Linked DNA regions of Lonchura striata. The protein of the gene in region 2 binds, or shares a complex with, the protein of the main gene of each other region. Links are inferred from orthologs where the notes say so. Each region holds a gene or a part of one and is shown on either strand. Other genes may lie near its edges.

What was found.
Region 1: the proteins of RANGAP1 (region 2) and SENP2 are in contact, whole or in part, in a crystal structure (PDB 2IO3), measured with the Homo sapiens proteins. The link is inferred for Lonchura striata from reciprocal best matches to the Homo sapiens genes RANGAP1 and SENP2. Residues at the interface, in NP_001265580.1 of Homo sapiens: Glu467, Asn508, Thr511, Thr514, Arg515, Val518, His519, Leu523, Lys524, Ser525, Glu526, Asp527, Val529; in NP_067640.2 of Homo sapiens: Tyr408, His409, Trp410, Val477, His478, Asp495, Met497, Gly498, Gln499, Lys500, Pro536, His537, Gln541, Gln542, Asn544, Gly545.

What each region holds. Positions count from the first base shown.
Region 1 is NC_134612.1:5,573,657-5,577,557, reverse strand, and holds the start of SENP2 (sentrin-specific protease 2), read right to left. Parts: upstream 2,299-3,901; 5' UTR 2,270-2,298; coding exon 2,154-2,269; intron 1,178-2,153; coding exon 1,122-1,177; intron 438-1,121; coding exon 313-437; intron 85-312; coding exon 18-84; intron 1-17. UniProt on the Homo sapiens protein: Protease that catalyzes two essential functions in the SUMO pathway.
Region 2 is NC_134607.1:58,518,465-58,522,365, forward strand, and holds the start of RANGAP1 (ran GTPase-activating protein 1), read left to right. Parts: upstream 1-1,400; 5' UTR 1,401-1,486; intron 1,487-3,901. UniProt on the Homo sapiens protein: GTPase activator for RAN. Converts cytoplasmic GTP-bound RAN to GDP-bound RAN, which is essential for RAN-mediated nuclear import and export. Mediates dissociation of cargo from nuclear export complexes containing XPO1, RAN and RANBP2 after nuclear export.

The DNA.
Region 1 (3,901 bases), on a different chromosome or scaffold from region 2:
CTTGCTGTCAGCCCTACCAGGTTCTTTCGTGTCCTCATCCCCTCCAGATGCTGCAAATGAAGAGTCAGAAGAAATGTACACAACCTGAAATAAAAGCAAATACCAGAGTGAGCATAACCTGAATGTGAATCCAAGCAAGCACCTCCCTTTCCTGAAATCCAGTCAGCTGTGTTCTGACTCAGAGCCCATGGTTTTGCTTGGGTTGCAGCAGAAGGCAGGGGCACTGATGGCACCACTTTTGTTACACAGGCTCTAACACCTGCAGGGATTGTGGGAGCTGATCCCCGAGTTCCCATCAAAATCCTTGCTCACCTTCTCTTCAGCCTCAGAGAAGTCATCTCTCTCTTCAGTCTCCTGGCTTCTACTTGTTGCCTTAGGTAGCAACTTGTCAGCCACAGAAACCTCTTCAGGCTCCTTGTTAGCCCCAGAGACACATTCTGGAAAAACCACACCACCAGCTCATGAAGAATGGGAATGGAAGCAGAGGTTGGGATTTCTGCTTACACCCAAGCCCAGCTCCTTGAGCCCACATGGAGCAGGTAACTCATTTCAACAACACAGCAACAGCCCAGCAGCACCCCCCCACCCCATCCCTGAGGATCTTGCTCCCAAGAAGGAATTAGGAATCTCCACATCCCCCATGGAACTGCAACAGCCTTCACTGAAAATGCTCTTTGTGCTGCCCTGCAGGGCTCAGTGCCAGAGAGAGCTGGGACATGCCATGCCCTGCCCCAGCCAGGATTTATCCTTGGTGCAAAGACATGGCCCTCCCAGGATGGAAAAAGTTGTTCCCTGCTTCTGTTCCTGCCTTCATCTGACCAGGATCTCCCATCCTCCACTTGGTTTGAAAATCAGACAACCATTAAGGTTGGATAAACCCTATAAGGTCATCAAGTCCAACTGTTCCCACAGCACTGCCAAGGCCACCACTGACCCATGTGCCCAAGTGCCACATCCATGAACACTGGCACACATCATCAACAGACCCAGGCCCCATGAGACCCCCTCCAGCCACAAGACTGGCTAAAAAATCCTCAGCTTCAGCAGCAATCCCAGAGTTCCCCAAGGTACCCCAAACCCAAGGAAAATGAGGCATATCAAACCTCTCTGAGGGGCAATACCTGTTTTCAGCCTCTTTGCCGGGATCTCATCAGGATCTTCCACAGGTGACAGAACACTGAGGGAAGAACAGACAAAACCATGTTTGCAAGCACAATTCAGCTCCCAGCAGGCCCAAACTTCCAAAGGGGGCTTTCCTGCTTCCCCAGGATCATCTCCCAGAGGGCTGATCATCCCACTAAAGCAGATCAGGCCTCTTCTCTTTCTTCCTCGTGTTCTGCATTTGTTCCTATCACCAAAAAGTGCCTTAATAGGTAATGCTGTCCTCTTTCCTCCAGGAAAGAAGCACTCCAGAGGTCACTAAGCCACCCAAGTCCATGTCACTACGCTGAGCTGCAAAGGAAAGTTTAGGTAGAACAGGAAATGCGAGGTGGGAATGCCAGTGCTGCTTACATCCACTCCAGCAGCTTCCTGCTGAGTCAGCTCGGGAACAAATCCTTGAAACAATTACCAACCTCACCCCTTCCCACAAGCCTAAACGCAAGGATTTTTATCAGTTGCTACTTAAGTCCGGTAAAAACGTGTTCTTTAGGAACAGGGCGCAAAGAACGTTCCTATTTTTATTCCTCCCCCCCACAAGAGCCAATTCCTTCTGAGCTGCTCCTCAGTGACAGCCACTGGAGCAACGCGCGGCTGTTTCCAGACACATTCCCTCGTGTCACTCGGCGATGGGACAGCGGGCACGGCCTCCCGGAGCCTGCACACCGTACATCCCGAGCGGCTCCGGCCACCGCCAGCAGCACGGCTAGCGCCCGGGGCGGCATCCTGCTCCTATCCGCGGTGCGTGGCATCCTTCCAGCCAGCTGTCCCCAGGGGTGCGTGTGCCCTGCTGCTGCCCCAGCACCTGCTCCAGCCCTCCCGCCCCGAGCAGATGAACAGGGGCTGGAGGCAACACCTGGGGGCCGCGCATGGGCCGGCGCTATCCGGGACCCGCAGTCACCGCCACAGCTGCGGGCAGCACCTGGCGCTCGCCGGGCATTTTCCACACCCGCACGGCGGCCGGGCGGGGCGGAGGCGCGGCGGGCAGGGCTGACCTGGGGGGCGGTTTCTTTCGGGGCGGCGGCTCCGGGCTGAGGGCGAGGGCCGGGGCCGGGGCCTGGCGGGCGGCATCGCGGAGAGCGCGGAGGACCGCGAGCAGCCATTGGTACATGGACCGCGCGCACTTCCGGCGGCGCGCCCCGCCCCGCGCCGCAGCGGCGGCGCCCGGATAGAGCCCGCTGCCCGGGGACCGCCCGCTGCCTGAGGGACCCGCCCGCTGCCCGGATAGAGCCCGCTGCCCGGGGACCGCCCGCTGCCCGGGGACCGCCCGCTGCCTGAGGGACCCGCCCGCTGCCCGGGGACCGCCCGCTGCCTGAGGGACACGCCCGCTGCCTGAGGGACCCGCCCGCTGCCCGGATAGAGCCCGCTGCCCGGGGACCGCCCGCTGCCCGGGGACCGCCCGCTGCCTGAGGGACACGCCCGCTGCCTGAGGGACCCGCCCGCTGCCCGGATAGAGCCCGCTGCCCGGGGACCGCCCGCTGCCCGGGGACCGCCCGCTGCCTGAGGGACCCGCCCGCTGCCCGGATAGAGCCCGCTGCCCGGGGACCGCCCGCTGCCCGGATAGAGCCGCCCACTGCCTGAGGGACCCGCCCGCTGCCCGGATAGAGCCCGCTGCCCGGGGACCGCCCGCTGCCCGGATAGAGCCGCCCACTGCCTGAGGGACCCGCCCGCTGCCCGGATAGAGCCCGCTGCCCGGGGACCGCCCGCTGCCCGGGGACCGCCCGCTGCCTGAGGGATCCGCCCGCTGCCTGAGGGACCCGCCCGCTGCCTGAGGGACCCGCCCACTGCCCGGGGACCGCCCGCTGCCTGAGGGACCCGCCCGCTGCCTGAGAGAGCCGCCCGCTGCCCTGAAAGAGCCGCCCGCTGCCCTTAGTGACACGTCCACTGCCTAAGGGACCGGCCCGCTGGCCGGATAGAGCCGCCCACAGCCCTAATAGAGCCGGCCACTGCCTGAGGGGTCCGCCCGCGGCTCCGAGGGACCCGCCCACTGCCTGAGGGACCGGCCCGCAGTCCTGATAAAGCCGCCCACTGCCTGAGGGACCGGCCCGCGGCTCGGCGGGACTCGCCCGCAGCCCTGATAGAGCCGCCCGCTAACTCTAATAGAGCCGCCCGCAGCCCTGATGGACCCGCCCACTGCCCCGTCCGGCTCCGCCCACGACCGAACACACCCCGCCCCTGGACCCGCCCCAGCCCCGCTCGCCCCGCCCCAGCCCCGCTCGCCCCGCCCCGCTCGCCCCGCCCCGGCCCCGCTCGCCCCGCCCCGGCCCCGCTCGCCCCGCCCCTCCCGTGCCCGTTCCCGGAGCGCGCGCTCGCCGGGCTGGAGCGATGCGCGCGTGCGTTCTGCAACACTTCCAGGCTAAAATTTGGGCTATTTCTGCCTCTCCTGCTCCTGTCCCCTTTTCTCTCCCCCAGCCGGCCCCGACAGCGCTGGCACGGCTGGGTCCGGAGCTTTGTCCTCTCCTAGAGTCAGGAGGTTTTGCCGTCTCGGAGCTCGTTGAGTCGGGAACTTTGTCCCCTTGGGGGGTCAGGGGGCTTTTCCGACTCCAAGAGTCAGGAACTTTGTCCCCTTGGGGGGTCAGGGGGCTTTCCCGACTCCAAGAGTCAGGAACTTTGTCCCCTTGGGGGGTCAGGGGGCTTTCCCGACTCCAAGAGTCAGGAACTTTGTCCCTATGGGGGGTCAGGAGGTTTTGCACTCGCACAGAGTCAGCTTTCCCTACTCCAGGGCTCGGTCGCCGGGCTTTGG
Region 2 (3,901 bases):
AGGTATTGGTTTTGATCCAAAAATTGCTATTATCCATGGATAAGACAATGTTTATTTTTATTAGCTCTTCAGAATGTTATGTGTAATAAATATAATTCGCGCCATTCCTTGTATGAAATATGTAATATTGGATATTTGTTAAATCATGCCCGTCGTATTAGTTTCCCCCCCCCCTCCCCCTTTACAGGCGAGACTGGATGTATATTAGAAACTGATTTACAAGTAAAAGGATGTGGCTCGGCCAGGAGATGGGCCATATCTGGGCTCCAGGTGTTGATCATCACCATCGGTGCTGATCGTCTGAGATGGATATCATGGAAATCCTTAGACAGATCCATGTGAATGCAGCCTTCCCGTAAACTCTCATCAAGAATTCAACTACTCCGAATTCAACTACTCTGGACATTGAATTATTTCTCCTCATCACCAAAAAAAGAAAATCTTATTAACCTATAGACTCTGAATAGAAGAAAAGACTAACTGCTCAAATCTTGGCCTCAGGTGGAATTTTCCCTATAAAAACCACTCGGGCCAGGATGGAGGTGTGTGGGCATAGGGGAAAACCTCTGCTGAGGCTGACTCCTTGTTGCACACCCAGGGCCGACCCCGGGCTCGGCTCTGTTCTTTCCGTGTGGCTGGCTAGATAGAATTTGACCGCTAATAAAATTATTTTTATTTTTAATCTGGCTGAATAAATTCTCATTTATAACACCAACCAAGGCTTTTTTTCCATCCTGAAGCAGGAATGACTTTGCACTCCAGGGTGAAAGCGACAGATGAGAGGACATAGCCATATGCTGTACCAGTGGAGGTTCACGTTGGCCATTAGGAGGAATTTTATCACAGAAAGGGTGTTTGAGTATTGGGATGAACTGCCCGGGGAGAAGTGGTATTGTCACCGTCCCTGGAAGTGTTTAAGACTGGATGTGGCAGTTAGTGCCATGGTCTAGTTGATCAGGTGTTGTTTGATCATAGGTTGCACTCGACGATCTCAGAGATCTTTTCCAAGCTAACAGATTCCGTGATTCTGTGAAATGCCTTCCTTAGCAGAACGGTCTGACAGTAACACGTGAGTACGAACAGGAGACCCCAGGGACATTATCTAGGCGAGGCTTCACATCAGAAAGTCCTCGTGTCCCACCTGCGGGCTTGCGGGCGCTTCTCCAGCGACACTTCCGCCAGTGGGGGTTGTGAGCGCGGCGCGGACAGAGCCCCGCGCAGCGCAGAGCAGGAACGGGACTACAACCCCCGGCGCGCCCCGCGGCCGCTGCCGCGCGCGCCCCGCAGCCTGGCGACACCGGCTGCAGTGCGGCAGCGGAGCGCGCCCCGTGACGTCGCGACGCAGCAGCCAATCCCGGAGCGGGGAGCAGAACTGCCGGCGTTCAAATCCTCCGCCTCCCCCGCCCGCCCCTCACCCAGCGGCCCCGGCGCGGCGGCAGCGGCGTGAGGCTCCCGCGCCTTCCCCGGTGGCGGAATCCCCGAGGAGGTGAGGGCAGAGGCGGCAGCCGCCGTCTCCGTTAGCGGCCGGCGGAGGGGGCCGTGCGTGCGGGGGGGCGATCCCGCGGGCTGACGCGCCCCTCGGCCCCGCCTGCGGGGGGCGCTCCCACGCGCAGGCGGGGCCCCCCGCTCGCGTCGCGCGTGTCCGGCGGCGGGTCCCCCACGCGCTCCGCTGCCCGCGCGGGGCGGCAAGGGGCGTTCCGGCCGCGTGGGGCGGGGCCGTGCGGCCTGCGCTCGGCGGCTCCCGCGGGGCAAGAGCGGCGCTGGGGGCTGTCAGCGGCCGGCCGGGCGGGCACTCGGGCTGTCGCCCCGCGCTGCCCGGTGCCCCGTGGCTGGGCGAGCAGCACGTAGCTGGTGCGTTGGTTGTTGGGGTAGATGAAGTGTTGTAACTAAAGTATGCGTCTGAACTAACTTTTTCGATCATAGGGGAACGTAAAGTTTCATACATCCCTTAAGTGAAAAGGAAACCTGTCTTTAGGCGTTTCCAGATCTTGGTTGTGTTTGCCAAACGGACTACCTCTTCCTTCTTTCCTTCTTTCCTTCTTTCCTTCTTTCCTTCTTTCCTTCTTTCCTTCTTTCCTTCTTTCCTTCTTTCCTTCTTTCCTTCTTTCCTTCTTTCCTTCTTTCCTTCTTTCCTTCTTTCCTTCTTTCCTTCTTTCCTTCTTTCCTTCTTTCCTTCTTTCCTTCTTTCCTTCCTTCCCAAAAGCTTTTTCAGCGTAAGAATTAACAGTAACGAGACCTCTGGTAGGTTGACAGGTGGGTGTGGGTGACATGTGCTATAAAACATGCTTCAGGATGTGTATGTTGAGATTAGAAGGTAGTCTATGTGTAAGGTGAAGAACAACAAAGGTGATTCAAGGGAAAGAGAAGCCAGGAGGATGTGAACATCTGTAAGAAAGATGATCATAATAGATTAGAAATTATTTTTAAGAGTAAAGTTGTTAACTTTACTCTTAAACTAGGTGGACAGGCTGACTTCTGCAGATAGTAACTTATGTTCCTATCTGGTAAAGCCTTCATGGTTTGGAGGATGTCCTCTTTCTTCTCAGTGTTGGATTGGCAGAGGCTGGGCGTGTCCATGAGTTTGGTATCTGGGTGTCTAGTAGGACTGGAATAAGCTATGTGGGTTTGATGCCTGAAGTTTTAGCTTTCATGTTTTTCAGGTTCTGTACTGCCTTAGTGTGTAACTCTGAACTTCATATAAAGTGTTAGCAAGTTCTCTTCACAGGGCAGGTAGACAAAACAATCCTTTTCCAGCCTGAGAACCAAGGACACTGTTGCAGCTTCATGCCCAAAAAGTGTGAACAACAGCAAATTGAGGAAAGCCATCTGGGAGGATGGGACTTCATAACCTGAAGCTGTAATTGGACAATTAACCCCAACATGGAAATAGACCAAAACTTATAAAATATGAAACCTCATGATCAGGTGTCCATCTTGGGTGGAGTCATGGCTGGTCTGCTGTACTGCCCAAGGTTTATCTTTTGAAGGCCTTTTAATAAACACCTACTTTATTGCTTTAACTCTGTCTAGCCTCTGTTCAGGTAGCCACAGTAGGCATCAGTTTCTTTCTACTGGCAGCAACTACTTGAGAGGATAGTCATCCTAGAAAAATTATGTTGCTCAGCCTTGGAGATTTTCACCCCCTGTTTCCAAAAGTGATATTAAAATTAAAGACCCCTGAAAAGAAGTCATACTCTGGGGAAGCTGGGGTATCAGGAGGAAAGTGTGCAGAGGAAAATATACAGTTTTCCTATAGAGGATATTTTAAAACCAGCACTATTGACCTCAAGCAGCTACAAGAGTGTGGGGTCACTTCTAATCAGACAGGAATGGAAGGGAACCAGTTTTCTGTTGCAGGAATGGAACTTCATCCCTTCTGACATCTAAAGTCTAAGTGTGGGGTTTCTAAGCATTAGTTGTGTGTAGCCTTTTATCTCAGCAGAGACAGTGGGATAAGAAATGTACTCTAGTTATTGTGCTCAATGGATGGAGGGCAGTTCCTTCAGCCAGTGATTAATATTCATTAAATAATGCTATGCAGATGCTACCAGACATGGCTAGCTTCAAATTTGTGCCTCAAGGCTAGATGCTCATTAATTTATTTTAAGTGTAAGATCATCCTGTTTAACGTGTGATGAATTTGTGTGGAACATCTGAAAGGAGAGAGCACCCAGGAAGCTGAGAGAGTTTTGTATGCAGCACACAGTGTTTTCAGCAACTCGATGGTTCTGGAACTGTGCTGACAAGGGCACTTCTGGGAATATCACTGAAAAGGAAAAGCAACTGTTCATTCTAGCTTGCTTTGGAGAGCATGGGAAGCATGCAACACATATAATTAAAGGATGGAACTTGAAACAAGAGGGATATTGCATTGTAATTGTTAATCTTGCACAAAGAGTAA